Linked DNA regions of Arabidopsis thaliana. The protein of the gene in region 1 interacts with the protein of each later gene in a pairwise test. Each region holds a gene or a part of one and is shown in the gene's direction. Other genes may lie near its edges.

What was found.
Region 2: the proteins of AT3G55520 (region 1) and LHT2 interact in a protein complementation assay, tested with the Arabidopsis thaliana proteins (one large-scale study listed by BioGRID).

The regions. Positions count from the first base shown.
Region 1 is NC_003074.8:20,584,112-20,600,723, forward strand, and holds AT3G55520 (FKBP-like peptidyl-prolyl cis-trans isomerase family protein), read left to right. Parts: upstream 1-9,549; 5' UTR 9,550-9,754; exon of another isoform or gene 9,755-10,043; 5' UTR 10,044-10,065; coding exon 10,066-10,174; intron 10,175-10,290; coding exon 10,291-10,424; intron 10,425-10,509; coding exon 10,510-10,589; intron 10,590-10,680; coding exon 10,681-10,773; intron 10,774-10,860; coding exon 10,861-11,017; 3' UTR 11,018-11,188; downstream 11,189-16,612. Other genes in the region: AT3G55513 (uncharacterized protein), read right to left, coding at 761-823, 1,038-1,238; RTFL7 (ROTUNDIFOLIA like 7), read left to right, coding at 6,812-7,051; SDIR1 (RING/U-box superfamily protein), read right to left, coding at 11,189-11,314, 11,399-11,518, 11,683-11,728, 12,213-12,324, 12,422-12,650, 12,738-12,790, 12,869-12,923, 12,997-13,077; AT3G55540 (nuclear transport factor 2 (NTF2) family protein), read left to right, coding at 14,107-14,340, 14,526-14,793, 14,917-15,047, 15,132-15,503; AT3G55550 (Concanavalin A-like lectin protein kinase family protein), read right to left, coding at 15,908-16,612. UniProt on the Arabidopsis thaliana protein: PPIases accelerate the folding of proteins. It catalyzes the cis-trans isomerization of proline imidic peptide bonds in oligopeptides.
Region 2 is NC_003070.9:8,643,239-8,660,740, reverse strand, and holds LHT2 (lysine histidine transporter 2), read left to right. Parts: upstream 1-6,825; 5' UTR 6,826-7,179; coding exon 7,180-7,361; intron 7,362-7,445; coding exon 7,446-7,829; intron 7,830-8,036; coding exon 8,037-8,430; intron 8,431-8,515; coding exon 8,516-8,621; intron 8,622-8,718; coding exon 8,719-8,810; intron 8,811-8,901; coding exon 8,902-8,970; intron 8,971-9,079; coding exon 9,080-9,178; 3' UTR 9,179-9,334; downstream 9,335-17,502. Other genes in the region: AT1G24430 (HXXXD-type acyl-transferase family protein), read left to right, coding at 1,244-2,551; AT1G24420 (HXXXD-type acyl-transferase family protein), read right to left, coding at 2,744-4,054; AT1G24405 (uncharacterized protein), read right to left, coding at 5,303-5,488; AT1G24390 (uncharacterized protein), read right to left, coding at 11,907-11,973, 12,161-12,315, 12,469-12,540; AT1G24388 (uncharacterized protein), read left to right, coding at 12,047-12,118, 12,211-12,339, 12,430-12,642; AT1G24380 (no-apical-meristem-associated carboxy-terminal domain protein), read right to left, coding at 13,132-13,860, 13,964-14,116; AT1G24360 (NAD(P)-binding Rossmann-fold superfamily protein), read right to left, coding at 17,458-17,490. UniProt on the Arabidopsis thaliana protein: Amino acid-proton symporter. Transporter with a broad specificity for neutral and acidic amino acids. Basic amino acids are only marginally transported.

The DNA.
Region 1 (16,612 bases):
CCATCACTTTAGATTTATAAATATAAAAAATACTAAGCTACTAGGGATATGTGGGAATAACACGTGTTTTTACAACTAATACCCTTTTTTAGTAAGTGCGTCTAGTACATCGATCATGGTTTTTGATTGAGAAAAAAACATTAGAAATCAATTACGAATATATATTAAACGTTCAACATTGTTATGAACTAATACGTTTAGCAATACTTTTACAAAAAAACTTTCAAAATATTTGAGACTCTAGCTAGTGTTTGTATCTATACCATAGGGTATGATATAGTTAGTCTTTTTCTATATGCATTTGTATATCATTAATGAATAATGAAAAGGGTTTGTAGAATATACGAAAAGCTTAACCTTTTTTTTTTTTTTTCGTCTGAATTTTTCCATTAGATAATACGATTGAAAGATATAAGGTAAGATGCGTTTTTGGAATATAAAGCCGGCAAGAGATAATCTCTTCCAGAAACAAAGCCGGCGGAAAACGAGTAAATCCCCGGAAACTAAGCTCAAACAAGGGAAGCATAAGATAGAAACAGAAACAAGACTAAAAATAACTCCAAAGATAAAGACTTGCCAACACAAAGCTCCCTTGAACCAAATGATCAAAGCCAAACACTAAACACATCTAGCGAAACCTCCTATAGTGAAGCAATACTACCTTTCACAACCAAGTGAACCTAAGCTACTATTCCGGCAAGAGAGAATCAAGGCAAAGCAAATCAATTCCCCTACTACTCCCGAAAACGGCGATATCGACTCAGCGACAATTTAACGCCTCGTTAGAAGCCTTTGAACCGACCAAACCTCGATCAGGTCTTAACTGTAGAAACAAGGAGCGAAACAAATCTTCAACCGGATGAAACCAATCTCAAAAGAGAGCAGCACAAGATCGAACCGGGAAGAAACCATAAAGACCACCACTAGAACCAGGGAGCACGAGTAAACAAGTCGAACAACCAAATAGAGATCAAGCTAGTCACCAGAACCGTTCAAATAACCAAAACACATGAACACAAAGAGGAAGCATGAGAGACGAGGGAGGGACCGAGGTACCGAGAACGGAGCCGTTGTTGCTCAGATCCAGTGAAGGAAGAAGGCCAGAGCCTCCTCCGGTGCTCCCAATGCAATGAAACACGTGACCAGAGACAAAACGAAGATCCACACCATGAGGCAGAGGCGAGAACGACGACTCCATCTTCACCATCTACCTTAAGGCATGTCAATTTCGGTCTCATAGAACCAAACCTCGATAGATTTGAGATTCGATACAACCCAATCCACCTCGCCGAAATCACCACGCTTCACAGCCGAAGAAAGCAATGACAAGAAATAAGAGAGGGGACCGACGCTGGCGCTTTAGGAGCCACCACGCGCCGGTCAGATCTAGCCAAGACGGTAAGTTGAAGAAGAGCGGCGATTAGGTTTTAGAGAGTGAAAGTCGAGGAATTAGTGTGTATTCACAAAAATCTTAACCTAGTAGTCATTTCTTGCCAAAAAAAAGGAATAAAAAACAAGAAAGAGCTAAAGCAACAACAAAATCATTTGGGATTGTTGTTATTCATTAGTGAGCCAACTTTGCATTAGGCCACCAATATGCTATAGTTACGGATTTATGGTATAGTTATAGAAAACAATACGGAAATATTGGTGGTGTACACATAATGACATGAAGAGACGGATGTGACAATAAAAAATTAAAAAGAAATAAAAAGGTCCCGTACGAGGAGGAGTAGTAGGCTCTTTGGCTCCACTTCTCATTGTATCCGTACCATATGGCATATGCAGCCACGTCAATGTCCCATCTTCTCTATCTTCGTGTTTCTTCTTTCTTTTTTTTACTCTTTCTATTCTTCAACTTGGTACGTTGCAACTCGCACTGATATTTTTATAAAAATCTCTACAATAATATAAAATTTTCATTTGTGGGCAACACTAGGGTTTTGTGCCAATACCAATCCTCGTTTCTCACCCATATTTCTCTGACAGTACACGAGTTTATGGTATACTAAGCAATGATCTGGAGTTATGCAATTGTTAAAGCTATATTCCCATATTTGTTTGTGTATAGCTGAACTATTAGACGAGTCCATATCTCAGGGATCATTATGTATGTATATTTAATGAAAATTAATTAGCCTACAGGGCTCAACCAACTAATTATCTGACGTATTATGGTTTAATTCTTTTTTGTCATCATTAGAGAAATTGAACCTGCAGGAGAATCCCTTAAATACCAAAACACCAAATATAATGCCACTACATAAGGCAAGTTGTTTGAGCTATCGCTCCATTTAGCGCTAAGTTGGCAAACAAAGGAAAGTGTCCACACCAATTTGTAAAAACTAATTGCTAAATGTTTTTCCTATGACCATAATTTACATAGATATTCAACATTTGATCAATATTTATATATATACATGAAAAATTGTAGAGTGTAAATCACATTGTTTCAAGTCCGATTAATTAATACTTACCAAAAAAAAAAGTCCGACTAATTAATAAAGATTAAATTTATTGCATCTATGTCCCTAGTCTTTTTAAATAAGTACTAACTTTTTGCAATACAATTCTCCTAAATCAGCAAGTTCCAAAAAATTGCGTAGGCAGGATCACAAATGAGACGCCGATATAATAGGTCTTTGGAAGCTTTCAGCACAACAGTAAGCCTAATGACAAGGGATCTCATACGATCCGACGAAATCGATTAGTTTTTAAATGAAGTCAAATATGCACATTATTTTTTATGTGTTAGAGTGATTCTACAAAACTGTTTGATTAATTATAGCAGGAGACATCAGATGAAGATATTAAATAGCTGAGGAACTCACTGAATTATTCAGAAATTTCAATTTGCTTGAACTAACAGGCTTTATATATGCGAAAAAATGTTTCAGGCCTTTTAATTTTTATTATAGGTATGATATGATATGACACAAATTAAAGTTGGTGACTATTGCATAATTTGTCGTCTAACGGATAGCCAAGAGAGTAGTCTTTTCTTTCTTCATCAAATATGGGATATATACAAATTAAAGCTCTCGAATATATAATTCTGTTAAGTGTTGTTTATTTGGATATTGGCTTAAGATAAGTTGTAGGTAAAAAGCGCCATTCGATGAGACCAAATAGCAAAGATGATCACTTTTTAGAAAAACGAAAAAGGACCAATAAAACATGAAAATGTGAAAACCCCCAAAAAGTTTTTCAAACACTCAATAATTAAATATGAAGAAAAAAAAGAAAAGAGAGAGACAGAGAAGCAGAAACGGTAAGAGGAGGGACCAAAAGAAAGGAAACGTCTGAAGAAAACCCTAAACCCTAAATGGTGACGAGTGATAGAGAGAGAGATGAAGGAGCTGTCAAATGTGTCAATTCCATCGATCCACAAAACTTAATGCTTGTGGGCTACGCAACGCATCTCTCTGCTCTCTTCGTTTTTTAACACTCTTGCTTGCTCCATTAATTTACTCTATCTTCAATTCCTTTCTCTTTTTATCCCTCAGATTTGCCTTTTTAATTAATTATGGCCACAGTGAGTGTTAATGAGCTTTGGTATATTTGGTATCTTCGATTACGATGTGCAACTGTTTCCCTAATCTCTCTCCCTCTCTCTCTCTCTCTCTAATATTCAAGAAAATCTCAACCGTTGATCTCTTTCTCTTTCTTCTATTTAAACACTTTACCCTTTCCTACTTTCTTCACCCTAAATCTCTTCCTCTCCTTCAGATCTCTTTAGTCTTTACTATTAGGGTTAGCATGTTGATGACTTCAGATTCTGAAGTTAGTGGCAGTCATTGTTTGCTATTGCAACATCTTCAAGATTCAGAAATCAGATTCTCTTATGGGTTTTCTTTTGAGCCTTTATTTTTTGGTTTGAGAATCTTGATGATGCTGCAGCGGCAATTAAATGGCTTACTTATCTAGGGTCTTTTTTTCCATTTTCATCATGTGGTTAATCAGAAATCCAGATCCTCATATGTAGAATCCTCCGATATGATAACTTGAGGTGAAACTTATTTCACAGGTATGCATATGATTATATATATATAAGCACACATATATATATAATAGATTTGTGTGTGTATAAACATATTTGTGGACAAAACGATGATGAATGATTTGAAAAACGAATATGTATATACTACTCTCAATTGATTAAGTGAACCCTTGCTTATAGATCTTTTTTTTTTTAAAAAAACTTTTTGCTGCACGATGGATAGATCCTGAAAATTTCCAAAAAGGTTTTAGGGTTTTCTTTCTAACGACAAAGTATATAAGACCTGTTTCTGTAGACTCAAGGTGATTCATAAATGCATAAATTTGATTTATATAATAATGACTGAAAGGGTTTGGAGGAATTGGACATATGTATGAAGGAGCATGTATATGTCTGTTGTTTTATGTTCGGTTACATCTGGTTATGTCTCTTCTCTTTGTCCACTGGTTAATCAAATGACTCATCTTCATGTGAAACCAAACCCCTTGTTTTTCGTGTCCATGTTTCTTTATGTATGTGATTAGATCTCTATATATGTTTCTCTAATGTAGTAGATGATGATGTGATGTATGTGACAGGTTTGTATAATTCTTATAAGAGTTCTCGACTTTGGATCTATACATATATTTCGAATTTGATTCCTAAATCGGATTTGAGAAGAATCTCATTTCTTTTTCTTGTTTTTTATTTCTTATTGTTTTGTTTAGGGTCTTAAATCTGAATCTAAATGTAGTAGTGCCAACTCGAACTATGATCTACCTGAATCTGTATATGAAATCGAAATTTTACATATGAGAAAGGTTTATATATGAGAAAGAGATTAGTTTGTGTACGTTGCTTGTTGTGCAGTTGTTCTCTGCTGCAAAGATTCGCTCATGTATTTGTATTAACATTTAAGATCTACTAAGAATTTTTAATAACATGGATACCATTTTATTGATGGAAAAGTCCACATCTACGTAAAAACAAAACTGTGTGTGGGTAATCTTGATTTTCAAAGATTTATACAGATGAGAATTCTAATTAAATCAAACTTGCTTCCTAATTATAAACGTTTGATCTCACTGATGTGTGAATTTCTGATATGTGGACTTGGATAAAAATTACAACACCAAAAGGTTTTAGTTTGTTTTGTCGAGCATATGCATGATGAGTTACTCCAAACATGAAGCAAGTGATGAAGGTTTGAGTCATGGATCCTTTTTTCAATATTCCAAACAAATGAGTTTATCTACAAATAATCATCAATGGAATGGTTGGCTAAGATGTAAAATAATACTAGAAGGTCAAAAACTTGGATAAAAATTAATTCAGACTACCCAAATTATAGTTAGGTTTGAAAACGCGTTTTTATCCGATATGGGTCTAACGTCAAAATTGGGGCTTAATTACTAAACTAAGCAATTTTGCAAGATTATCATTAGTACGAGTTTTTGGGCCGGTTATGCTGTTAAAGTTTGGGTGGTCTGTGAATTCGTTTATTGTAATTTAAAGTGTGCGTTTTAAGTTGCAAACGTCGACCTTAGTGATATCGTAAGATGTAAAGACTTTCGTTGTGAATGGTGGTATCATTATTTAGACGTTGTTAAACTTTTCTAAAGGTAATGTTACGCACATTTGGAATCTTAGGGATTTAATCTGGTGATTGGTCGTTTAATTTTATGCTTATCCCAATTAATAGCATTGGACAATTAAGGCCTTTGTAAATTTGGGCCTTTAATTTTGGGCCTCAACTATCGGTGTATGCACATACTACTATTTTTCTTAACCCTCGGTCCTCCACTCCTCCTAAGACACTTTTGCTAATCAAAATAGTTTTTGTTGAGTTCACTACTTTAATCTACGAAAATCTAGTGACCCAGGGGCTAGGTTAAATTGGAGACTCGTACGATACTCGTGAGATAATTAGTAATGGTTAGCATCTATGAAGTATACAGTAAGAGATTCGGATTAGTGACTTAGTGTTATTGGTGATTGTCATCCTGATCACAATGATTGGAACAAGATTTGGTGTTTGACTAATATGGATTTTCTATAGATACGTCTCTGCTTTTTATATTCAATGCAACTGTTAAGCGATAATGACTTCTGAAAATTACAAGAATATAAATCATCAATACGATTACGAAATTAATCCGAGTGTACCAATATTCTTATATAAGTCTTAGTTTTTTTTTGGACCTCTGTTTTTTCTTGTCCTTATGTTGTGGAGTGAATATGACTGTTGTTGGTGGAATAATGAATTTGTACTGAGAAAGCAAATAAACAGTTACAGTTGCAGAGAAAAAGGTCAGTGAGAGTTTAGATTTGCTTTGATGCCTTTAAAATCTCTCTTTTTCCGCTTAAGCTTTTCCTATTTTCTGACTTCTGTAGTACTGTACCCGTTTTTTTTTTTTTTTGTTTCTTTGGATTTTTAACTTTTCACATTTGTTTTTTGCATGTTTAGTTTTTTTTTGGTTAAATTTTTTACTACGTGAGTTATTGAGGTTTTCAGCAATAGGTGCCTCTAAATAATCCCATATTTTTAAAAAACAAGACTATATTTTTGGGGAAATAAAGTTAGCGTTTAATATTCAAATGAAAGCTCATTACTTAGTGTTATTTTAATTGTTCTTTCTAGTCAAACCGTTTTTTTGTTTGTTTTGTGTGTGTTCAAAAGGATATTTAACTGTTAACCATTATAAATGCGGAAGTACCCCCTACACTCTTTTCCTTAACTCTCTCTTTAACTTTGCTGAATCCCATATTCGAGAAAACTCTCAAATCCATCAGTCTCCTAGCAAGATCAGAAGTCTAAGAATCTTCAGGCAAATGTCTCGACTGAGAAACTCGGCACAGTTGCAGCTATCGAAAAAGGAAAGTCTTGGAGACAACGGAGGCGCGTTGAACACCACGCGTTCCTCTAGACAGAAACAGGGGAAATACGGTTTCACGAGGAAGTGTGGGAGATTGGTGAAAGAACAAAGAGCTCGCTTTTACATCATGAGGAGATGCGTCGTTATGCTTATTTGCTGGACTGATCATAATAATAACAACTCTGACCACTCCTAAATCAACGTCAAAACCCTATCTTTCTCTTCTTTTTCTTGCTTCTGTTTTGAACTTTATTTTAAGAGTAGATTAGACACAAAATGTACATAAATGATTCTACTTCTGGTTGTAATTTAGATTTGAATGTTTGTGTTTGTGTTTGCTTTTGGTCATCACTCATCAGTTTCAGTGTATGCACTTGAACATGTAGAGGATAGAAAGCAATTAGTATAAAATGGTGAATTAGATTCGTTTTTCTTATTATTGTCTTACGCCGATATGTTCAGATCACGAGTTATGACTTAAATGTGTCAAGACTAGAGTAAAGATTATTAAAATATAATCAAAAGGGTTCAAATCTAAAAAAAATCAAATGTGATTAGGATTTTCGAACATCATTGAAGTCAATGGACAATTATGGTAACTTCGAAATGTTCTAAAAGAATAATGTTGTTATACTATAGTGGATTGAACATGCGAAGTATAAAAGATTATCTTTTTAAAGTAATACAATTCAAAGAATCTTCTTCTTTTTAGCCAGAAACAAAGATTAGCTTACATAAATATGAAGACACTTATTTTATACAATGGATTATGCTCTGGATTACGTAGTCCAACATTACATGAAATAGCTGCCTCTTAAATACTACAAGAAGAAATATTTTAAACAAGAACACATATTCAGATTTATAAAACCACTACGTAATATTTGGTCCCGCAATTTCCATTGTAATCACTATGACCAGATTAATTATTGTTCTTAATAGGCTAATAGCTACAATAAATAAATGATTAAATAAACAGAGCTGGTGCTAGAACGATGGAGTTTCTTTAAGAAAGAATGTCACTACTGCTAGAGTCCTCCCCATCGAGCTACTGCTGAAGAAGTGATGATATTTTATAGAAAATATGTTTCTAGATAGTTCTCATCAACTTATTTGTTTACATAGAGGTATTTTATTGTTTTTTTTTTCACTTACAAGTGCAAGGCAACTATCGCGTTCAATGATATTTTCCAGTAGCACAACAATTTTGGGATTCGCATTTGGGAGGCTAGATTGAAAAGAATGATTGGTACTTTAAACTATATGTTTTCGTCATCCGATTAAGTGATTTTTGGTTTAGCAGTTTCTTTAGAAGAGAATTATCTAGTTCGAGTCCACCTAGAGGACCCGGTATTCTTAAAAGGAATATATTAATTAAAGAATGATCCCATGTCTACAAAAATTAGGACTTAGATCTGAATTTCTCGAACTTTTTTAAAAAAACATGTGAATACCTTTTACATTTGTCATTTATACATGATACAATCGAAAAAATAAATTATGTAGGTGTATATTTGAGTGTGTTGGAATCTTTTCTCTTTGTTCCTTTGTACTACATTATTCGTGTTTTTCTAATCGTCGAGTTTCTCGATGTAGCTATTGTTTTACTTTTGATACTTAGCTTTGTGGTGACATTACGATTAATTAGTAGGTTTTCAAAAAATTTAGGTTTTTTAACGTTTGACCTTCAATGATCTCTTTTTTTTTTTTTAATTAAGAATCTTTCAATTATTCTGGCAATGATTATACAGATGAATTTTGGGTGTTCTATATATATATATGACCACTATCTCAACATATCTGCTCACATCAGTTTTTGAATTATGTACAACTACCATCCTAAATTATATTTTTGTTATTCATGTATATAGCACACCACATACAAGTTTGGGACTAATCAAGTTTGACAAGAAGGGTTTAAATATTCAAGTCATGTCGTTATTTATAGTCTACAAATTTTATGGATTATACCTACACCTCTCTATGAAGAAATTGGCTGCCTTTAAACATATAGAGATTCAAATGGGTCCGATTTAATTTTCCTATTAAAATTTTCAATATATGGTGGATGTTTGATCATTGCGACGGTGAATAACACTTTTTTCCTAAATTGTGTATACTTAAGAAAAGAGTAATGGCGGCATTGAACAATTATAAAAAAGATAGTATATAATAAGTATATTTCAATTCCACTATGTATAAAGAGACAAATTAAAATAGTTTAGTCACTGATTGGAAAACTAGACTTTATGAGCCATCCCCCACAAATCGGAAGGGATCTATGATAAATGATTATAAAAAAAAATTGATTGTTCATTAGCATGCTTGATTTTGATTTGTTTATCAGCTCTCTCTTCTTAGACAACAACACGCCGACGATATTCCGTTTTGACTTTCACTGTTAAATTGCACTTTGGGGACTCTTTTGTACTTTAAGTTCACTCCTAATTATTGGAGATTACAAATTTACAACTTATAATTTTTTAAAAAGTGACAACTGACGTGAGATTTGTTTAGTCTTAAGACAAAAATAAATAAATAAGAGAACGAGCAGCATATTGGCCAATAGAAATATAATGGGCCTAATGGGCTAACTTCTGTTGTTGCTCTTCAGTTAAATAGATAAGACCTCTTGAAAACATGATGGGCCTAATGGGCTACAAATATGAATTTTAGCACCGGTCCCTAGAGAACAATAACACGTGACGTCAAAAGCATCGGATTAGAGAAAGAAGAAGAAGAAGAAGAAGCCGATTCTAGGAAAAATCCGATACTCTTTGGACAGTCTATGGCCACCGATCTCTACGGCGATCTCTTTCCGGTTATCACTTCGTCACTACACATTTGCTTCTTCCGTTTTCGTATCGGATCGAATACTATTCATCTTTCTTCGAATCGGGTGAGTTCGAGAATCTAAAGCTTACACCTTTAGTTACGATTCGTCTGCTGTTTGATTTTGAATTCATATATTTGTTTATCTGCAGAACTATCCATTCACTCAATTTATAAGATTTTACTGATTTTGTGTTGGTGAGCTGAGATAATGATAAACTCACTCAGAAATGATTCTACACTTTAGTTGATGTAATTGTGTATGTGTTTATGAGTACTGAAACGTATCTGTTTATATTCCAGTTATCCAGTAATTGTTATTTTATATGAAAAGGTTTGTTTTTTATGTGAATTAGGTTTCTTTGAACCTTTGAAGCTATGGGTGATGCAATCGATTTGAGTGGAGATGGTGGCGTCTTGAAAAAGATTGTAAGGAGTGCCAAACCTGATGCTATTTCACCCTCTGATGATCTTCCTGTTGTCGATGGTATGTTCTTAAGATTGACTAGTGATCAGGGTCAATATATTGTTCATCTACTGCTTATGCTACTCCTAATTATATGTGTTGATGAAGGACCATAACCTTGTTTGATTTTAACTTAGTTCATTATGAGGGTATCTTGGCTGAAGACGAAAAGGTTTTCGACACTACTCGCGAAGACAATCTTGTTTTCTCCTTTGAGTTAGGAACAGGCAGTGTTATCCGTTCTTGGGACATTGCTCTTAAAACCATGAAGGTTTCTACAATTTTGAGTCTTTCTTCTATCCTTATAATCTGAACGCTTCAGTTATTATATACAACTGATTTGATTTTTTTTACAGGTTGGAGAAGTTGCAAAAATTACATGTAAGCCAGAATATGCTTACGGAAGAGCCGGGTCTCCTCCCGACATCCCACCTGAGTATGTTATGTTCCAAACTTCTTGCATCTCGTTCAAGGGAGTGTGACAGTTTTTTTTTTGTTTTTGTAATTGAGATTTTTGGTAATTGCAGTGCAACTTTGATTTTCGAGGTGGAATTGGTTGCTTGTAGACCGAGGAAAGGTGCTAGTGTTGGAAGTGTTTCTGAAGAGAGAGCCAGGCTAGAGTAAGTATTATAAATACCATTTGGACCTAACTTTTGACTTGTTATCATGTGTGTAAATATGAAAACTTTTTTGCTTCATGGTTGCAGAGATCTGAAGAAGCAGAGAGAGATTGCTGCAGCTGCGAAAGAGGATGATAAGAAAAAGAGAGAAGAAGCAAAAGCTGCTGCAGCTGCTAGGATTCAAGCTAAGCTAGACGCTAAGAAAGGTCCAGGCAAAGGAAAAGGCAAAGGCAAAGCTAAATAAGTCGAATGCAAAAGACCTGTCACTACTATTTCATGATGAATCTAAATCAAACTTTTGGAAAGGGAGAGTCATCAGTTACATCATATTGAGTTATTGACCATTACATGATTTGTTTGGGGTTTAATTCGCACGCACATTAATAACATAAACAAGTGTTCGAAACCAAACTTTTCAAACCATGTCGGAAGCATCATCATCAATCTCATCTTGTTCTTGCCATCCTGAATGAGCTCTAAATTTACAGACAGGACATGTTCCTTGCTGTCTCAACCATGGATCGATACATCCTGCATGAAACTGAGCAAACGGATATATGTCTGAGTCGTGACACAGTAAAGAGCTGGAAGATTTTCAGTTTAAGATAAAAGTAAAAATGGAAACCTGATGCAAACAAGGTAAGGTGCGAACGATTTCCCCTACGGTAACTTGTTCTAGGCAAACACTACATGTGAGCTCATCTTCTGTTCCTTTTTTACTTTCATTGGCAGAATCTAGCATCTTCTGCTTTGAATAAGAGGAAAACGACATGAAAAATTAAGACATTGTTAGCCACTTAGCAAGAACTTTTTACCGAGCATATGAGTATTGACCAGTTCAAATGTGATTTTTGTATATCGGCTATTTTTTGTGTGTGGGGTGGGGGGAAATGTAAATATGTCATATACCTCAGCTGAGGATGAGGTTGACGCTTGCTTTGCCAAAGAGCAACCACTGTCAACAAAAGCGAACGCAAGACAAAAACCATGAATACAGATTCATTCACAATAATTAGAAAGAAAACAAAAAGGCGTTGAGCTATGAAAACTGAGAAAAGTTTCACTCAGTAACAAATTTTAAATGTTCATTCCACAATAAAACTAGCGCCTGACGATTAACCAAAGAAGTGATGGGATCAACGGAACTCATGATTTTAGAAGATTCTATTGAAAAACAAATCTTTAGTAACTCAATGGACAATCAATACCTTACATGTTCCGTTTAGCAAAGCAAACAATAAACCTAAGTACAATATCAGTTTCTAACTTATTAAGTTGTATATTCTACCACCCCACCTTCCCCTGTTAAGGAAGTTAAGGTCTATACAAGTTGCTATATCACATCATCCTAACTTACTATTTTCTTAATTCCTCAATGTTTCCACATTTGAAAGCATTTTAAACTGTTAAAAGAGAAACAAGGTACAATATTGACTCACTTTTCAGGATCCAACACCTTGTACTTGTGAACTGGAAGTGCATTTATCTCTTCCTCGCTCATAGAAGTTGTGGAAACATTATCAGAATCAAGTGCTCTTAAAGTTTCATAATCTGTTGCAGCAGAACAACTTTTGTCTCAGACTTCAACCATAGAAAGCAAACTACTAAACTATAGACTAATAAAAAGGAACAAGCGGATGATACTGACCTAAGTCATCAAATTCCCGATCAAGAAGAGCCAGCTGGAGCCTAAGTCCCTGAAGACGCCCTCTCGTAGCAAGAGCAATGGAAGGAGGCACATGCAACCTCAGCTCAGTATGGCTAAAGAGGCCACTTGCTGCTGCAGCCTGAGCCTGAGCATGAGCTTGAAGTTGTTGGCAAGTAGCATACATCCTAAGCGTCGTTGCCATCAAAAACACCCCAAGCACAAGCCACAGCTACAAAATTAATGGAAATGTCAAACTCACACCCGAAAGACGACTAACTCAAAAGGAAAAAACTTTAACTCACGTATTTAATCATACCAGGAAATTAGGAGGCATCTGATGCGAATTGAGAATCATAAACAGCAAAAGAACTGAAATACACAAACCAAACACAAGTATTAACAACATCACAACTGAAGATAACATAGAAGGTGAAAGTTTGAATTTACCTGTAACCAGAAAAGCGAGGGAATTAGAATTAACTGGTCGAGCTCCATGAACACGCTGATACCAAAAGACACTTGCAATAAGTATCATTCTAACAAAAACCATTGTATATGTTTTCAAGAAAGCATACCATAGCTCGTCTTTCGGGTAGAAAACCACCCGAGAATCCGCTTTCTAAATCTCCTCTACTTCCCCGGAAAACAAAGCTCATGTCTTCCAAATTCACAAGAGAGCCTGCAAAAGAAAACAATTGCCACTGAATCTATATTTGGTTCTATCAAATTAATTCAAAACTCTATAAACTAGAATTCGAGAAACCATGTTGATCACAGCAATAAAGGAGAGGCATTTAAACCCTATGCTGATCCAAACAAAACAATAACACGAATCTTTTCACATAAGCCAAGAGATTGAAAATGAGAAGGTTTCATTCATGGATCAAAAAAATTGAACGGAGCTAGAGATCGGAGGAGAAATTCACCTGAAAGTAGGAGAAATCTCTACGGAGAAGAGTCGGATTTACTCACTTAACATAGGCGTGGTGACGACGGAGTCACGAAAATCGCTTGTCGGACCGAGTCGACTCGGACCGAGTTATCGCTAACCTGAGGATATAGTTTTTGTCTTCATTAACACAGACCATTAACTTCATATGGTTTAACTGTTGCTGACGCACTAGCTTAAAAACGTCGTCGTTTTGATGTTGCCACTTATTACTTTCTCTCCTACTCTCATGACTTTATGTTATGATGCAATAATTTCACCACAAGAATCTGACTTAACGTTGGATATGTTTCAAATCGAAATTAGATAAATATGGAAAATTCACAAATTAACCATCCAAATTAGATAAAAGGGACTTCTCCTTTTATTTTTATTTTATAAAGATTTATAGTAATTCCTATCCGTATATTATTTAATTTAATAATGTATTAAAGATATATATATATATATAATTTTTTTTTTTTTTTTTATAAAGATATTACTATATCCCATAATGAAAAACCAATATATAAAGAAGTTCAATGGAACGTAGGTTTCCAAAATCCAAACCGTCTCACAAGTCACAACTTCCGCCTCTTTCCTCTCTCTCTCTCTCTTCCGGTGATTCCTTTAGCCTATAGATCAGCGGTTGATCTCAACAGAGAGATAAGTTTGTTTTTAAGAGATTTTGATATCTAGCTAGGGTTTACTTTGGATATTTCTTCGTCTCCCCTAGGGCATAATTACTGGTGCAGATATGGATTCCATGATCAAAGATGTTGATCCTTCCGTATTGTTAGCCAATGGCTTTATTCAATCCCACTTCACGAACTTAAATACTTCCGAAGCATTAGCCAATTGCTTTCTCCAATCTTACTTCCTGAATCTAGGAGTCTATCCCGAGGTAGTTCAGATGATGTGGTATGCCGACGACAGTGTTATGACTAGACCCGGTCCTGATGGTACAATGATGTCTTTTACATCGCCTGAGGTATTGTCATTAATCAGATCAAATCTTTCTCATGAGTTTCTGTTTTTAGTTTGATGTTCTGGTTGGGAGTAATTATATTTTATAACAATAATTCTTTTAGTTATATTTTTAACGTTTTCAAAACGTATAAACTTGAAAAAAGCTGTAAACGATTTATAAGGACAAACAATTTTTTGATGGTGCAGGCAATTCAGGAGCAAATCGTTTCATGCGACTATGAAGGTGCTTCGTTTGATGTGATGAGTTTTGCTGCTCAGAGTTGCAATACCAGTTCTGAAGATGGAGCATTTATCATGGTTACTGGTTTCTTGACTTGTAAAGACAAACAAGTGAGGAGGAGATTTGTTCAATCTTTGTATTTAGCTCGTCGTCAAGATAGGTCTTATGCCATTGTCAATGATTTCCTCCGCTATATCGATTCAATACCAGCATTACCTTCTGTTCCTGAATCCGGTAAACAGCTGTATAAATTGTGTTTGATATTCAATTTTAGAATAGTAAGTGTTTAGCTTCATGAGATTACAAAACTTACTAACTTAGTTTTGGTGTGACTATATATATAAGCAGATTTTGCAGCTGGATTTGTCAAGGTTTACTACGAGTTGCCTATGCGTGAGGAACTTGGTTTGATGTATGTCAATGAAAGTATTATGAGCAGACCGACTTCGACTTCTGGTAGAACAATGGTCGAGATGCCTGGCCTCGATGTAAGTTGCAAAAGTTCCTAATTCCAATGTATTTCTAGAGAAATTTTAGTGGAATAAATCTAAGGGGTTAGTTTTTTGGTGCAGGCAATCAACAAGAGGGTCTCAAATGAGCATAAGAGGGCTTCTAATTTTATATTGAATAGTGTGGATTATCAGATCAGCAGATCCTTTAAAGATAGAATGTTTATCATGGTTTGCGGTTTCGTGACTCTAGACGACAAAACAGAGAGAAAGTTCTTGCAATTTTTCTATGTGACACGTTGTCACAATGGGTCTTATGTCATCTACAATGACATCCTCCGTTATGTTGATGTTACCCCTCGAGACACACTTGAAAGCTCGAGCCAGTCCGCTGCAAAACCTAGTACTGATGTCGAGCTTCCTTACTTCATGGTTAAGAAGGGGAAGCTACTCTCTTATTTTAACAACATAGACACGCAAAATTACCCCCACTAATAGTTTATGCTAGTGTTGTTCTTTTTTTAAATGCATTTAATTTTGTTCCTTTATGTCCTTTTTTTATATACAAAACCTTATTCGTCTATGTTCTTTTTATTTGAGCTTTATAAATTTCTTTTTTTCTCATAGAAGAATCCTTGTTCTCTGTTCCGAGATATTTGTTCTATGAGACTATGACTGAAAAATGATTTATCTCTATTTCGTGTTGTAATCTTGAACTTATGCAATGAATTGTTCAAAATCAGGTTACGCTAACCACAAGATTTGAGACCAACGATCAACTCAAAATATTAAGCAACAGCATATGATAAAAATATTTTACATTTTAACATTCAGATTACTTGTTTTCATGGTGAAATATTATGCTTGAAACGTTACTAAAACATGGTTAAAAGAACCAATTATCTTGGATCAGTTCTTGTTTTACCGGAGAAGGAAAATATCGACGAAGTAGTAGTTTCATTCGGTCCGCTATAAAACCTAGCTGAATCCACAAAATCTTCAAACTCGCCTGCACTACCGCTGCGCTCATCAAGACACATACTATCATTTGCATCTAGAAAATCCGGTGCAGGAACAACTTCAGGCGACGGAAACTGCTTTTCGAGATACATAACTACTTGTCTCATTGTAGGTCGAACCTCGGGTGAATTATTTGAGCATAGAAGCCCTAATTTGATCACCATAACCACTTCCTCTTCGTCAAACTCACCGTTCAATCTCCTGTCCACAACATCTCTAATGTCTCCGCTTTGCCACCTTGACCAAACCCAATCAACCATTACAAGCTCCTCTGGTAACGCACTTGTTTCGATAGGTCTTCTTCCGCAAGCTACTTCCAATAAAACCGCTCCAAACGCATAAACATCGGTGCTTGTTGTCAGTTTTCCGGATTTTGTGAGTTCTGGTGCTAAGTACCCAAATGTGCCAACCACTCTTGTAGCCCCCGGATCCGATCCATGCTCATATAACTTAGCAAGACCGAAATCTCCTACCCGTCCGTTCATTTCGCTGTCCAACAAAACGTTTGCAGCTTTAATATCGCGGTGAATAACCGTTTGTTCCCATCCTTCGTGTAGGTAGAGTAAACCGGAAGCAACCCCTTT
Region 2 (17,502 bases), on another chromosome or scaffold:
CAAATTCCATAACGAATATTATAATTTTATTGGCAACTAGCTATATAGAAAATGATGAATTCAACACCATGGTGTGTCCTCCAACATAATTTATGACGTATGAAGCTAGCATGAAGAAATAACGTTTACTCTATTGCTACAATGATTTCTAACTATATATAGATTTAGAAATTGTAGATCGAGCCTTCTTTGTTTAATATTTAATCCAAAAGCATGTTTTTTCCCCCCGGAGGATTTTTTCTTTTGTGAAAAATGTTGAATAGTATAAATAAAAATAAAAATATTAATTGTCTTATGAATATGTTAATGCCACTAATTAAAAATTGGTTTCTAGGGAATATATACTATAGTATTATTCTGGTTAGTTGCTATTGGTCGTAATGATCATATTAATTCATAGTAGATGAACAGCCCATATTTATTAAGTTGAAGAATGGGAATTTGGAATAATTCGTACCCTAATTTTCAATTCAAAAATATCATTTATTGATTTAAAGTTCTACCTAATGGTTCCATTGACTATATCGACCACAAACATATATATACAAAATAAAATTTGTTATGAATGGCAATACAAAAGTATAATTTCGTATAATTAAAACGAGCCTATCGGAATATATAATTTAGCTAAAATGAATAGTCAAACGTTTTTGGTAAGGACTAGTCTAAAGGACTAAAGGAGATGTTGAGGACCATCGACCACCAACCCCAACTAGTTAATGATGATGATGATATATACTTTGAAAATGTTATCACTATATAATTGTTGACGAACCGAATCCCTGTTTTTAATTTTTGTTTGTTTGTACTTATTCCTAAACTCATTTTGTATAGAAGAGTTTCTTGCGGAAAAAGGCATCCTGTGAAGCTTGAGTTTCTTGAGGGAAAAGGTATCCTGTGAAGCTGCTTAACTCACTTGCGGCAAATTAACTTGTTCAAGTCTAAATAGAAGATATAGTTTTCCACCTAACGTTAGTATAAAACTGGGTTAAACCAAAACCCCATATCAAGTTTCATAATGTTGACAAAATAATCCAGCTGAAGTCTCCAAAACCAAATCTTTGTATAAAATTTGTAACTTTCTTGTTCACTTGGGTCTAATTCTGATCCGTGTCTAATCACCATGACACGTTATTAAAGAGGACTATACCTCCTTATAACTTTAGCTTATATAATCTTACTGACGAAGCATGAGTCTGCTCAGTTCTCATACATCATTATTATAAGTTATTTCAAAACAAGAATGGGGCTTGAGATCACGGTAACTTCTCAGGAACTCGTCAAGCCCTCTCCTCGAAACCTTAATCATCCTCCATGCCATCATCATCTCTCTTTCCTTGATCAGCTTGCTCCTCCCATTTTCATGCCTTTCCTTTTCTTTTACCATAACAAGACTAATCTATCAGACAAAGAACGAAGTGATCACATCAAGAGTTCTTTGTCTGAAATATTGAATCTCTATTACCCCTTGGCAGGACGCATCAAGAACTCGGGTGATGTTGTTGTGTGCAACGATGTGGGTGTGTCTTTCGTCGAAGCCAAAGCCGATTGCAACATGTCACAGATTCTAGAAAACCCAAATCCTAACGAACTTAACAAGCTTCATCCATTCGAATTCCATGAAGTGAGTGACGTGCCTCTCACGGTACAGCTCACTTTCTTTGAATGTGGCGGCTTAGCACTCGGAATAGGCCTTTCTCATAAACTCTGTGATGCACTGTCTGGTCTCATCTTCGTCAACAGTTGGGCAGCTTTTGCTCGTGGCCAGACTGATGAAATCATTACTCCTTCTTTTGATCTCGCCAAGATGTTTCCTCCGTGCGACATAGAAAACTTAAACATGGCTACAGGTATCACGAAGGAGAACATAGTAACCAGACGCTTCGTGTTCTTGAGATCTTCTGTTGAGTCTTTAAGAGAAAGATTCAGCGGAAACAAGAAGATCCGCGCGACACGTGTTGAGGTCTTATCGGTATTCATATGGAGCCGTTTCATGGCTTCAACAAACCATGATGATAAAACCGGAAAGATCTATACACTGATTCATCCAGTGAACTTGCGTAGACAAGCAGATCCAGATATACCAGACAACATGTTCGGGAACATCATGAGGTTCTCTGTTACTGTCCCTATGATGATAATCAATGAAAATGATGAAGAAAAGGCTTCTCTTGTGGATCAGATGAGAGAGGAGATTAGAAAGATAGACGCAGTTTACGTGAAGAAACTTCAAGAAGATAACAGAGGACACCTAGAGTTTCTAAACAAACAAGCTTCAGGTTTTGTCAATGGAGAGATTGTATCGTTTAGCTTCACGAGCCTCTGCAAATTTCCGGTGTATGAAGCAGATTTCGGATGGGGGAAACCTTTGTGGGTTGCCTCTGCAAGAATGAGCTACAAAAATCTTGTAGCTTTCATTGATACTAAGGAAGGTGATGGAATTGAAGCTTGGATCAACCTTGACCAGAACGATATGTCTAGATTCGAAGCCGATGAGGAGTTGCTTCGCTATGTCTCTTCAAACCCAAGTGTGATGGTCTCTGTATCTTGAGAAACAAGTAATCTATTAGTCGTTTCTAATGAGTTTGAGCTTGTTTTCCTTTTAAGTTTGTCTTTCAGATTTCATTCCCTTGTACTTAATGCATTCTTTTATACTATTTTGTTCATATTTAAGAAGCAACACAAGTTTAAATTAACTCATATAAATCTCTTGGAAGAAGTATGCAATGAGTTTTGTTCTTGTCTAGATTAAAACAGGGGGATTTAGGGAAGCTGATTCAAGAAGCTCTTGATCACATTCAAACAGTGACATTTGTTCTTCCGTAAGAGTGATCCAAGCTTCAATTCCTTCTCCATCTTTGGTATCAATCAATAACATCAAGTTCTTGAAATGGGAAGTGCCTCTTCCGGTCACCCAAACCGGCTTTCCCCATCCGAAATCAGCATCGTACAAGCCGAGCTTACACCAGCTATTACTCATCCACAAATCCATCTCATTTCCTCTTCCATATACTTTCCCAATCTCTTCCAAAAGCTCAAAAATTCTAGACGAAGATTTCGACATCTCCTTGCAGTTCAAGCTGAATATTTCCTTTGCCCTCCTTATCTCATCAACCACATCTTGAATTCTTTCAATCGCAGCTTCTTCGTTCTTGAGAATCATGAGGGAAAGCATATTCCCAATTGTGTTTTCACACAAAGAATCTACCTTTCCTCTTAGGTTCACTAGTATCTGCAGCACTGAAGTTCTTGGTGTTAGAGAACTCAATCTTGAAACCTTAGTAACGCATCTCCAAAACAGAGCTGTGACGGCTTCAACACGTGTTGGATTCTTCACAAGGTTTCTTGAAGCTTTGGCTCTAAGTTTCTTGATCTTCGAAGCATCAAACACAAACCTCTTTGTCACACAACTCATCTCTTCAACCTCTTCTTTGCGATCCATCGGTTTTGAAGGAAGCTCATCAAGTGGTTTAGGAAAGACTTCAGAAGCGGTGAAACTAGGAATCAAAGTAATCCCCAAACCTCTTGAGGACTCAGCCCATCCTCTGATGAACATTGCTAAAGAGGTAGCATCAGTGATCTTATGAGAAACGCAGATTGTGATAACCAATCCTCCACAGCTGAAGAAATTAGCTTGGATTAACAACACAGGCCATGTAACAGCTTCTCTTGACTTAGCTTCAACAGGAATGAGTAATTCCAATGATTCAGGAACAGGGCACTTGAGAAACTCCGAGAGAAGATGGTCAACTCGAGCTTCTATAAACACAGCTCCTTCATCATTACATTCGACGAAACTTCCTATGATTCTTCCGGCAAGAGGGTAGAAGATTGGTAAGGTTTTAGACAGAGATTTCTTGAGCTTCAAGGAAGTCTCCTCTGTTGAAAAACCTAGAAGGTTCTGAGGATCAGCTGCGTAAAAGAGAAGAGCTCCTGTGTACATTGGTGAGCTGAGGATATCAAGAAGAGAGAGATTGAGAATTCTCTTATCATCTGGAGTTGGAGAAGACGGTTTGACTATTTCTCTTGATAAGATCTCAACGTTCTTCTCCATTTTTACGAACAAAGTCTTTCTCCACTTTCTGATAAACCATGACACGCTTGTAAAATAACTTCAATGAAGATTCTTGGTGAGAATAGCTACATATTCCTGCATCACAAAAGACCAGTCATATTATTTATCATTAATTCATGTCATCATCATCATTATCCTTATTATTATTAATAGATTACATTCATATTAAAGATTCCTACTAGTGGGGAGACCAACAACAGTTCAAGATTCTTACTCGTCAGGAGACAAAACGTTATTATTTCATCTTAAAAATCTTGTCTTAAATATCGAAACAGAGAATAGTAATTATAATGAATTGCATTGCTTTTAAAACCTTAAGGGGTCCTTTGATTTTACAAAAAGGACATTTTTCCTTTCTAGGACTAGATAGCTAATTTTTATTGGCCTTAATTGTTTGCAGATTCAAGATTATGATTGCAATTTTTCTAAAATGAATCCATTATCCAAGCATCTCAAACATCTTTTTTTTTTCTGTTAATCGTTATTCAACACAATGTTTTTTAATCTATCGTTGCACTAGTTGTAAAAACGCTATTTTCTTTTAAATCTAATTTAACATTAAATTAAAAAAATAATAATGTAAATGTCAAACCTTTTGTATATATTTTTTTTTTTGTATGAATAAATGTCAAACTTTTTCTTCACGTTTACGTTAAAAGTAGTTTACAAAAAGCTAAAGAGTATTACAATTTTAAAGATATTTTCTTTTGAACATCTCACTTTGCTTGTTGTTTGCATCCAGATGGTGACGCGGCATTAGATTAAACTATGCCTATATGGCATGGTTTATGAATTTTGTGAGAGGTTACTTGTCGGTACATCCTGCATGTTGCTGATTTTAGTAAACTAGGATAGTGATATTTTGAATCGTTGTTTATTGCCTAGACGTCTTTTACGAGTGTTTAGCGATCCATTAAGTTTTCTTTGTCATTTTAGGTATTACAAACTCAAAAGGATGATTTTTTTTACATGTACTCATCTAATAGGATTAATGATTTTATAATACACCTTTAATAAAACAAAAACACAATTCCTGGTCGCTATTAAATTCTCACCAACAAAAATATAAATACACAATCAACCGCAACCAACGAACTTTCTAAATGTTAAAGATTTAACAATTACAATCAGAAGAATGGTTAAAAGAGAGAAGCAGAACTTAATGGATTAATCACAAGGAACAGATGAATCAATAACCCTTTTGTAACTAAACAAATAACCTATTGATTACTTATCAGATTTCTTGCCAAGTTTCATCCATTTGAATCCAAGTATGGCCTTCCCGATACCGCTTTTGCTTCCATCTTCCTTCTTCTTCTTCTTCTTCTTCTTCTTATCGTCTTCGTTACTTGAATTTGGAGGAGGATCAGAGTTGTAATCCCATTGATCAGCCCATGATAGTCCAGAATCCATCTTCTTCGTCTCTCTTTAAGATTTTGTGGAATGAGAAGGTTTAGAAACAAATATGAGGGTGAAAGAAAGATTTTGTTTTACTTATTATAGACAGTATTGGTTTGACACAATGTCTATAAGTTTCTTGGTTGCTTATTTTTGGGGTTTATCTGTTTTTAGTTGTGCCTCTTTGCCCTTTGGTTGGACAAAGAATCAACATCTTTCACCTTTGACTGTGAAAACCCTTCAACAAGAAAAGAACCCCTTACCTGAAACACTTGAATTTTTTTGAGTAATCAAAAACTATACGCTTCAACGGTTCAACCTAATTTCTCTTTTACATTTTATTCAACATTTTCAAAGGATAGTTGAGTAGATTAATTACTGTTGATAAAAAACGACATACAATTTTTTTTGTCACGCTTTGAAATTATATTATTACGCTTGTTTCGTTTTGTGACATTGTACTACCAACAATAATTGTTTTTTATAGTCAACCATATCATTAATCGGAGCGGTCCCTTGATTCGTTCGAGCGACCCTCTAATCAATTGGGAATACTGTGACAAATAACCATGCATTTATGCTTCAACAATTTTAGTTTTCCTTCATAAATATCACGGGATGCAAGTGACGCTAAGCATAAATAGTTCGTCTGTTTCATTGACTTTGTAATAGAAGATGAAAAAAGAAAATATATAGATATTTATCTTCCTTTTGATGTCATGACGTTTCGTGATTTTGATTTACAGTGTCAAAAAGAGAGATTACGCTAGCGAAACGTCACTACGACCAAGATTTAGTTGGAGTATTTATACTCTGATCATTCTCAATTTCTCATCATCGACATTACAAATATGCAAAATTAACAAAAAATAATAATATATACAACTCATCACCTTATATATCTAAGAGCGTTTTGTCTAACTAATAATATGTTAGCATTTTTATGCCACTATTAGTAATTTAATAATATAGTTATTGCTTAAATATATAGATTTTTAACATATTTTCTCTTAGATATATATATATATATATATATATATATATATATATATATATATATATATCAAGATATAAATAAATTCTACTAAAAGAAAAACAAAAAAACAGCTAATTTTTTGTCGGTCAACTCAAAATAATCATTAAATGAGAAAGATATATTTATCTATCGAATAAATATTATTTTATTTTTTAAAAGCGAAACACTCGTTAGATCAGGTGACCATGAAAAGAAAAATTCAGCTCTATCCAAAAAAGAAAATAAATCATGCAAATACAGGGAGAAAAAAGTACGAAATTACAAAAAAAAGCCATGTCAATGTAAAGAGAATCATTGAATCAAGAAGAACGATTGGGGGTAAATTAGTATTTAAATTGGTCTAAGCATGAAACAGCTTCCAGCCGATGGTGCCTTATGCCTCGGGCAAAAAAAAAGACCAAACACACTAAACAAAACTACCAAACAAACTAACAAACATTCCCTTCAAATTCGGAAAAGTCAGAATCTCATCACCTATTTATTACACTCTCATAAACGCTAACAAATCGTTGAATAGAATAATTAAGCAGGTAAAATCCTAAACCGTCAGAGAATATCTATCCTCCTCTTAAATATCACTCTTATCTTTATCCTCCTAAAATCTTCTTAATTGTATCTAATCTCTTTCTCAAAAACCAAACACTATCTCTCGATTATATCACAAGGAGATATGGGGAACAGTGAAATGTCAGCGAGTGAGGTTGCGGCGGCCAAGCAGAAGAACGTCGACGATTGGTTACCGATCACATCTTCCAGAAACGCTAAGTGGTGGTACTCTGCTTTTCACAATGTCACCGCCATGGTTGGTGCTGGTGTTCTTAGCTTGCCCTACGCTATGTCCAATCTCGGATGGTATACTAATTTGTTGAATCTGATAATCTTAATCTCCTTTATGTTTTAATCCATGATCTGATCTGAGTTTTTGATGTATTACAGGGGACCTGGAGTGACGATTATGGTGATGTCATGGATCATAACGTTGTACACACTGTGGCAAATGGTGGAGATGCATGAGATTGTTCCAGGGAAGAGGCTTGATAGGTATCACGAGCTAGGTCAACACGCTTTTGGTGAAAAGCTTGGCCTATGGATCGTCGTGCCGCAGCAGCTTATCGTGGAGGTCGGTGTTGACATCGTTTATATGGTCACAGGAGGAGCATCCCTCAAGAAAGTCCATCAACTAGTCTGTCCCGATTGCAAAGAGATCAGAACTACGTTTTGGATCATGATCTTTGCTTCCGTCCACTTTGTTATCTCTCACCTTCCCAATTTCAACTCTATCTCCATCATCTCACTTGCCGCGGCTGTTATGTCCTTAACGTAAATCTCTTCAACACACATATATTGGTTTTACTTTATAACTTGAACAGAAAGTTAGAATAATTAACCTAGAGCATGCCTTGTGGTTCAAGGCTAGGGATCAAAATTGTTGTATATTTTCCGGTTATTAGAAGAAAAACTTAGCATAATCCCAAAATATGTAGAAAACTAGGTTTTATTGCCTGATGATTTTTATGATCTGTACAGTTACTCAACTATTGCTTGGGCTGCATCCGTGCACAAAGGGGTACATCCAGATGTGGACTACTCTCCTAGAGCATCAACCGATGTTGGAAAAGTATTCAACTTCTTGAATGCGTTGGGAGATGTGGCTTTTGCTTATGCAGGTCACAACGTTGTGTTGGAGATTCAGGCCACAATCCCTTCGACTCCGGAGATGCCATCCAAGGTCCCAATGTGGAGAGGAGTTATTGTAGCCTACATTGTAGTCGCCATCTGTTACTTCCCTGTAGCATTCCTCGGCTATTATATCTTTGGAAACAGCGTTGATGACAACATCCTCATCACTTTGGAGAAGCCTATCTGGCTTATTGCTATGGCTAACATGTTCGTGGTTATCCATGTCATTGGAAGCTATCAGGTATTCTTCCACATTCTAGTACTTCTATATTTTTGATTGAAGTAAGAATTATTTCATGAATATTGACACCTTTGTGTGGATTCAGATATTTGCAATGCCAGTTTTTGACATGCTCGAAACCGTTTTGGTCAAAAAGATGAATTTCAATCCTTCTTTCAAGCTCCGCTTCATTACTCGTAGTCTTTACGTCGGTAAGAACCCACTCCTCATTTATACATATGTAACGTCATCCTCCTACTCCATTCATTAATTAATCTCATTTTCATCAATGTACATTGGACCGTGCAGCTTTCACGATGATTGTTGCGATATGCGTCCCGTTTTTCGGTGGACTACTCGGCTTCTTTGGAGGATTCGCCTTTGCCCCAACAACTTACTACGTATAGTACAAATAATCCCTTCATTTCTTTATTGGTTTATCCATAGATTAAAGTTGTGAATTTATATACACATATTAATTTGTAACTGCAGCTTCCATGCATTATGTGGCTCGTTCTCAAGAAACCAAAGAGGTTTGGTCTATCTTGGACAGCTAACTGGGTATGTTCTTTAGTAATCAATGGTACATAATCTATAGCTCTTGTTTTCTTGTAAAGTAACAATTTTTGTGTTTTGGTTTGTTGGTGTTGTGGATTATGAAAAAATACAGTTCTGCATCATAGTAGGAGTTCTTTTGACGATCCTTGCCCCAATTGGAGGACTCAGAACCATCATTATCAACGCCAAGACCTACAAGTTCTTCTCTTAGATGGATCACTTTTTTTTGTAACCGCGCAACCGAAAAATAAAATCACGGCATGTCTAATTTTATGTGACTGTCCGTTTAAGTAAATTTTATGTTTTCATTGTAGTTAAGACAATTATCTTTGGTTTCTTTTGATAATAAACTCTTTTTCAAATAATTAATCTCCATGATCTGGTTCTTCTAATGTTGTGATTTCGTAATTTATGCAAGAACGTACACGGGAATTTTATGACACGTCTAGATGCAATGTTACCATGGTCAGCACGACACTGCGTTTTGTTTTTCTTTATGGTTTATGGATACATTTACATTAGATGATTTGGATCTGTGGTTAGATTTAATCTTAATCACGGGGTTTTCACCTGTCAACAATATGACATGACTTGAAAACGAATTTATACTTTCCAGTACAGCATGCATGAGTGATGAGAATAATTTAATAGCTTCGTTTATTATTTTGGCTTTTCAAATATCTTGATTTATACGTTGTTTTTGTTGATACGTGAACCTGTGATTCTGGTCGTAACTCGTAACGCCACATGTACCCTTTTGTGGAGAGTTTACTTGTAAACGGCAGACCAAGAACAAAATGTCCTTTCATCAATTTCTATCTAATAGAGAAATCGGCAATTTTGGTTATAAAGCTCTTTGATGAGTCTTCTCCTTGTCCTGCCTTAATTATCCTTTATGCTAGGCTCGGCTTCATCGTTACAATTTGCTCCGATCCAGCTTTGATTAAACTCGCTCTATATGTACATGATCTTCTTGTTTCTTTGTCTATGCATGTATTTTGTCATACAATTCTTTCTTGATTAATATTAGGAGAAAAACATAGAGCTCAGTAGTATAAGTATATACAACCAGTCCACGCATTCTGCTGCTTCCTCTTACCACATTACTTTGGACACCATGGATCTCACCGCTCTTCAACCTTTTGAGACTACAGTTTATGACATATCATATGGCAAATTAGCTTTATCGTGCCGTATTGCTAGACCTCTAAGTCATTACGAGACTTTTGTAGTGGTGCTTATACAACAAGCAAGCCATCTTACTAAATGATCATCATTGATGTAGTTAAATTCTTATTAAATTAGAGAATTATTTTTGTTTGTATAGTTAAATGTTACAATATAGTTTTAAAATATTATTATGTTAAAATTTTACCTTGAATTAACACAAAACAAATTAAAATTTTGATTTTGAGATATAGTGAAATAGGATAGGAAAATAGTTATTTTCAGGAAGAGAAATTGTGGACGGTACATTTAAATAAATTAATATAATTAATTAAAGAAGCAACAATTATGGTACAAAAAACTAAAGTTGGAAAAAATTCTTATAAAATACATGATATATCTAATGACTAATTTTAGTCAAACTACAACTAATGAAAAGTACATGTGTTATTAAAATAGAATGTCAAACACCACATTATTAGACATAGTTTAGAAAAATGCTTGTTATATTATATATATAAAAAGATTTAATCTATGGAGTACCTTTTTTTTTTCTCGGGATATCATGACATTTCTAAATTGAAGTTAAAATACATCTCCCCCTCTCTTGGTATGCCAAATTGTTTAACAAACGACAATGCATATCTCATTACAAATGCCTAGCAACTATGAGACAACACTCCATCATTTATATCTGCATCTTTAGGGAGATTCATTCCATAACGCCTATCAACAAATTCGCGCACAGGTAACGTGAGCACAATGAAATAAACTCTTCCTCACATCCATGCAAAACTAAGAAACACTAACCATGTCGCATGATGTGTATGCCCCACACAGCAAATGATAACGTTTTGGTTTTGAACCTATACTATTATTTTAGAAGTACAACATAAATTGTAACATTGAGAAATGTAACAAATTATATTAGATTACAATTTAAAGAAAATATAATCATAGACGAAATTAATCCACATCATTAAGGTTATGACCTACTTCTTAATACTGCGGGTCAATTGGTCACCAAACAGGTTTTCAAATATCACCTAAACAATAATATCAACTAATTGTGTACAGTAAAACCTCTATAAATTAATAAATTCTTGGGACCAGTGTAAAAAGTGACATAAATCAATATTAATAAGATAATAAGTTTTTTGAAAATCCTATATAAATACATGGTCTCATCAATATTATAAATTAATAATTGCATAAATGTATCAATTATATATATACATTATATATAAGAATTTTTTTAAAAATATATTTTTAATATTTTTTTGCTCAAATTTGTATATATTCTTTTGCTTAGCCTATGTCTCAAAAGAGTGAACAACTTTTGCTTAGCCTATGTCTCAAACGGCAGCTGTTTCCTAATCCTAGGCGGTTTAATGTATAGAAATACAGTTGGGTTGGCTAGTCACAAGGCAAGATCCGCTTTCGAATAAACTTATAAGTTATTTGGTGCGTCTGTAATGCTTTATTTTACTTTTTGACTTTAAGTTGTGTTTGAATTTGGTTTAACATAGGGTAAAGATAGGGAGATATTCTTCAACCCTTGTAGTTTCCTTTTCGTTTCTAAAAAAGAACACATCAATAACTAAAAAATTAGAATGCGAGATGATTTATCGATTTCTAGTTTAAGCAGTAAATTTTACATATTTCTTAACATAAACCGCAAAATAGAAATCCGACCAAGTGCTAGAAAGAACTCAACTTTGTCTGTTTTACCAAATTGATTTAACTAAACAAAACCGACTCATACCAATTGTCTAGCTAGCAATACCTCCATCAGTGGTGAATGCCTGCAAACCAATGATTTCAACCATGGTTAGGTCGCTAATATAATCAGAAACCTAAAATCGACCCAAAAAAAAAAAAAAAAAAAAAAACCTCAGCCGCTCTCGAGACGATGGTGGCCGGGGCAGAGGAGAGGGAGAAGAGCAATCCTCGGAAAAGATATAGGATAGTGAATAGATCCGCGGTAATATTCTTCATCATTGTTAGTCGTTGTAAAGCGATTCACATATGTCTTTCATCGTCACACATCCTAACCCTCTTTCTTGTCGCTTCTAGAGTTCCTTTATAAAGAGAGTACCACACTTTGGTGGAAATGAAACAATCTGTAACGATGAGTCTTCTCCATGTCCTGCCTTGGTTATCCTTTATGCCAGGCTCGGCCTTCATCCGTACAATTTGCTCCAGGTTTGATTAAACTCGCTCTATAAATGCATGCTCTTCTTGTTTCCTTGTCTATGTATTTTTACCCTACAATTCTTTCTTGATCAATATTAGGAGAAAAACTTAGAGCTCAGTAGCGTAAAGAAATACAACCAGTCCACGCATTCTGCTGCTTGCTCTTACCACATTACTTTGGACACCATTGGTCTCACCGCTCTTCAACATTTTGAGACTTCAGTTTATGAAATATCCTCTGGCAAATTAGCTTTATCGTGCCGAATTGCTAGACCTCTAGGTGATTACGAGACTATTTGTGGTGGTGCTTAGGCCAAGTCCAACGCCACGGGAAAACGTTAAAATAACGTGGGCATGTTTACTTTTTCACTCCAATCAGACGGTATAATTTGCACTATAATAGTGTGATTCTCTTTTTTTGTACAGTGTAACACTATATTTGGTGCACTACTGTATCCACGTCAAATATTAAAATAATAATTTTTTCTTTTGTGTTAACATTATTATATATTAAAATAGCTTATTTAGTTATAATAGATTATATATGATTGTAAATGAGATTTAAGTAATCTAACTAAGGCTTGTAACTAAAAAATAATTTATAAGTACTATTTTTGTAATCTTTAATTTAATAAAATGATGGATTAGTAGAAAATATTAAAACTAATACCGAAGTTGATTGAAAATACAATAAAATAAATTATACATTTATAACATAATTAAAAAATTAAAACCACACAAACATAAAAACTAAATGCAACAAGATATGTTTTAAAAACATAACAAAAGTTTCACAAATGGTTAAGGAAAATTATTTCCGGTTCCGCTAAGATAATTATAATATTGGGTAAAATCTTCTTGGTTATTTGGTGATCTTTGGTCTTCACCTTGATCCGGTTCTCCTTGAACTTGTTTTCCATGAAATGGACTTTCTTGATAATGAGATGCTCGATATTGAGATCCATGATATTGGGAGCCTTCACCATCTTCTTCATGTTGGTTTGTTTGTGCTCTTTTTTCCAAAATTCTTTTTCTCTCATTTTCAATATATGCACTAGAGGATGGATCACTTATAGAATTCAAATCTGCAAATAATATTTTATTCTCTTCTTTCATTCTAGCTACCTCGATCTTCTGCCTTTGAATTTCATTTCTTTCAGAAGTACCTTTAGTAATAGCTTTGATAAGTTTATCATTTTGCTCCAAAAGTTGTTTAAACTGTTCTTCAGATTGTTGTTTTCGCTTTGCTTTTTTCAAACCCATAGGCCTTGAAGATAAACTAAAATTGGCATCTTCACTATCCATATTTAGATCAATTGAATTCATACCAGGGGAAGGTGATGACTCGGTATTGATTGAAAATGATGAAGATGACGTAACATCACGACCTTCTCCTTGGAATGCAGCGGGTGTCTTCATGTTATCATTAGCAAATTTCTCAATACCTTTAAGAATAGGCCATACATGATCAAATTTGAATCCTCTCTTGTATTTTTCATATTGAGTTAATAACATCTTCGCTTGGTTTAACTGATTACATATTTACAAGAAACAAATAAAAATAAGTTAGCATGTACAAATAATTTAATAAAGATAAGTTAGTAAACACAAGAATTTATAATTGAGTACTTACAATGTCTTCTTCAGAAGCACCGCTAGGATTTTTATTCTCAATTTGGTTAACGCATCCTCTCAGCTTTGAGACTGCAGAAAGAATTGACGTCATTCGAGTTTGTAAAGATCTTTTTGGTCTTCGTTGAATTTTGGGAAACATCGAGATACACATGACACAATTGTATATCTTCTTGAATAGAATATGACAAAAAGCGACTTGAACTCATTTTTGAAAAATATAAGAAGTAAGAAAAAGAGTTGGAGATGTGTGATTATTCATAGAGTAATATACATTTATATAGAGAATATAAAGCAATACCAACGGTTAGATCTTGGTAAATTCAACGGTCAAGATTAACTTATTTTTTTCTAAAGAAGTGATACTTGATATAGACATGAAATGACTAATCAATGCAGTGGTAAGATCTTGATCAAAGAAATTCAACGGCTAAGATGAACTCGTCTTTTTCTCATGAGGTGATAATTGATTTGCGATATGAAATGACTAATCAATGCAACGATTAGATTCTCTTCAAAAAAAATTCAATGGTTAAGATGAACTCATCTTTTTCTCATGAGGTGACCAGTGATAAAAGACATGAAACGACTAATCAGTGCAAGGGTTAGATCTTGGTAAAAAAATTCAACGGTTAAGATCAATTTGTCTTTTTCTGATAAGATGAATATATCAATTCCATGCTCTTCTATATAATGGGCAATATGTTTAGAACTAAAATAAATATTACTATCATCTTCTATTTCTTCTCATAGAAGATGAGTTTTAACTACGGTAGTTCATCTTATATTCCGTCTTCTTCTTCTTCTTCAGATAATAATTATTAAGATGATATAGAAAAGCAAGTGGTATCTCAAATTACTACTAACAATAATTTTCTTTGCTCTCAACACTTATATAACTCAGAAGGTTCGCATGGTGGATCTATTCCTGGTCATGTAGTTATCAATCGTGATCGAGAAAATGCTGCTCGCAATCTTTTCAACGATTATTTTGCAGAGAAACCTGTGTTTCCTGAGACAATGTTTCGACGAAGATTCCGGATGAGTCGTTCTTTGTTTCTTCGTATTTATGATGCTATACAAAGACATGACAATTACTTCGTCCAAAGAAGAGATAGAGTCGGTAAACTTGGCTTGTCTGGTTTGCAAAAAATGACTGCCGCATTTCGAATGTTAGCGTACGGTGTACCAGCAGATTCCACCGATGAGTATATCAAAATAGGAGAGTCTACAGCTCTAGAAAGTTTGAAACGATTTTGTCGTGCCATTGTTGAGGTGTTTGCATGTCGTTATCTTCGATCACCTGACGCTAATGATGTTGCACGCCTACTTCACATTGGCGAATCTCGAGGATTTCCACGTATGTTGGGTAGTTTAGATTGTATGCATTGGAAATGGAAAAACTGCCCAACAGCTTGGGGAGGACAATATGCTGGTCGTAGTAGATCTCCTACTATTATTCTAGAGGCTGTAGCTGATTATGATCTGTGGATTTGGCATGCATATTTTGGGTTACCAGGATCTAATAATGATATTAATGTGCTAGAGGCATCTCATCTTTTTGCTAATCTAGCCGAAGGTACTGCTCCACCCGCTAGTTATGTTATCAATGAAAAACCCTATAATATGAGTTATTATTTAGCTGATGGTATATATCCAAAGTGGTCCACTCTTGTTCAAACAATTCATGATCCACGTGGTCCCAAAAAGAAATTATTTGCCATGAAACAAGAAGCTTGTAGAAAAGATGTGGAACGTGCATTCGGAGTTTTGCAGTCGAGGTTTGCAATCGTGGCGGGGCCATCACGCTTATGGAATAAAACAGTATTACATGATATAATGACATCTTGTATCATAATGCATAATATGATCATCGAAGATGAGCGTGATATTGATGCACCAATTGAAGAACGGGTCGAAGTTCCAATTGAAGAAGTTGAGATGACGGGTGATGATGATACTCGATTTCAAGAATTTTTGGCTCGGCACCGACAAATTAAAGACCGAGAAGCTCATATTGAACTTAGAAATGCTTTAATTGAACATTTGTGGTCGCAATATACTAATTCTGAGAATTAGTACGATGTAATTTATTTTTATTATGTTTGGTTTATCGATTGTAATATTATATTAATTAATGAAGAATAAAATAATATGTTGTGTTTAATTAAATAATATATTGTGTTTCTTTATTTTGTATTAAATTTGTTTAATGTAATATTTTGTTGTCTAACATTTGTTTCAATATTATTAAGTATTCTTAAAGTATTCATATTTTAGGTTAATAATATAATAATAGAGAATAGTATTTTTAGTGTGACTTTTGGTGTTGTGGTTGGAGATGAAAAAGAATTTAGTGTGAAAATCACACCAAATATAGTGTTATTCTAACACCATTTTAGTGTTGTGGTTGGAGATGCCCTTATACAACAAGCAAACCATCCTACTAAATCATCAGTCTCACGTAAAACATTGCTAATTTTTTTATTATTCTTGTATAGGGGAAACCACCATAGATGTAATCAAGAGATGCAGCAGCAGCTTGTACAAAAACTTCTCCCCCATAGATACCATGCTTGACTGGCCCCCAGAGAATCCTTTTGAACATTCAAAGCTGGTAAGATTAAGACCTGTGAGTTTTGCTTTTGTGAGTGATGTTTTCCATAAGCTTTTTCTTTTTTTTTGCAGTTGAATTATTATGAGCTGCAAGAAGACAATGACTGGATTCGTCTCTACTTGGAACTTGCAGTTGCCACCACTAATAGGGGCACCATTAGGGATCTTGATGACCTGTCCAACTTGAAGATTATCCAAGTGGCTATAGATACTACTCCCCAAGATGTGGATTTGGTATTCAACCGCACATATTTTGCAATTGTCTACATACAGTACAAGGACTCGTGCGAGGCTCGAGTTGGTAAGGATGTTGATCGCGTAGCTATAGTCAGAAGAGCCTTCGATGAGCAGCGGGGATGCTTCAGTCTTGTGGGCAAGACTCTAAGATTGCCAAAAGAGTGACCCACTTTTGCTTTGCCTATGTCTCAAACGGCAGCTGTTTCCTAGTCCTAGGCTGTTTAAGGCATAGAAATACAGTGGGGTTGGCTTGTCACTAGGCAATATCCGCATTCATATGCGGATTAGATCGTACAAATCAAACCAATAAGTTATTTGGTGCGTCTGTAATGTTTTATTTTACTTTTTGACTCTAAGTTGCGTTTGAATTTTGTTTGTGCTTGAATAGTTTAACATAGGGTAAGGATAGTGAGATGTTCTAGTTTCCTTTTCATCAATAACTAAAAAAATTTAGAATGCGAGATTGGATTAATCGATTTCTAGTTTCTGAAAGTGACCAAATACGTAGTTTAAGCAGTAAGTGTTACATATTTCTTAACAGAAACCGCAAAATAGCAATCCGACCAAGTGCTAAAAAGAACTCAACTTTGTCTCTTTTACCAAATTGTTTTAACTAAACAAAAGCCGACTCATACCAAATGTCTAGATAGCAATACCTCCATCAATGGTGAATGCCTGCAAACCAAT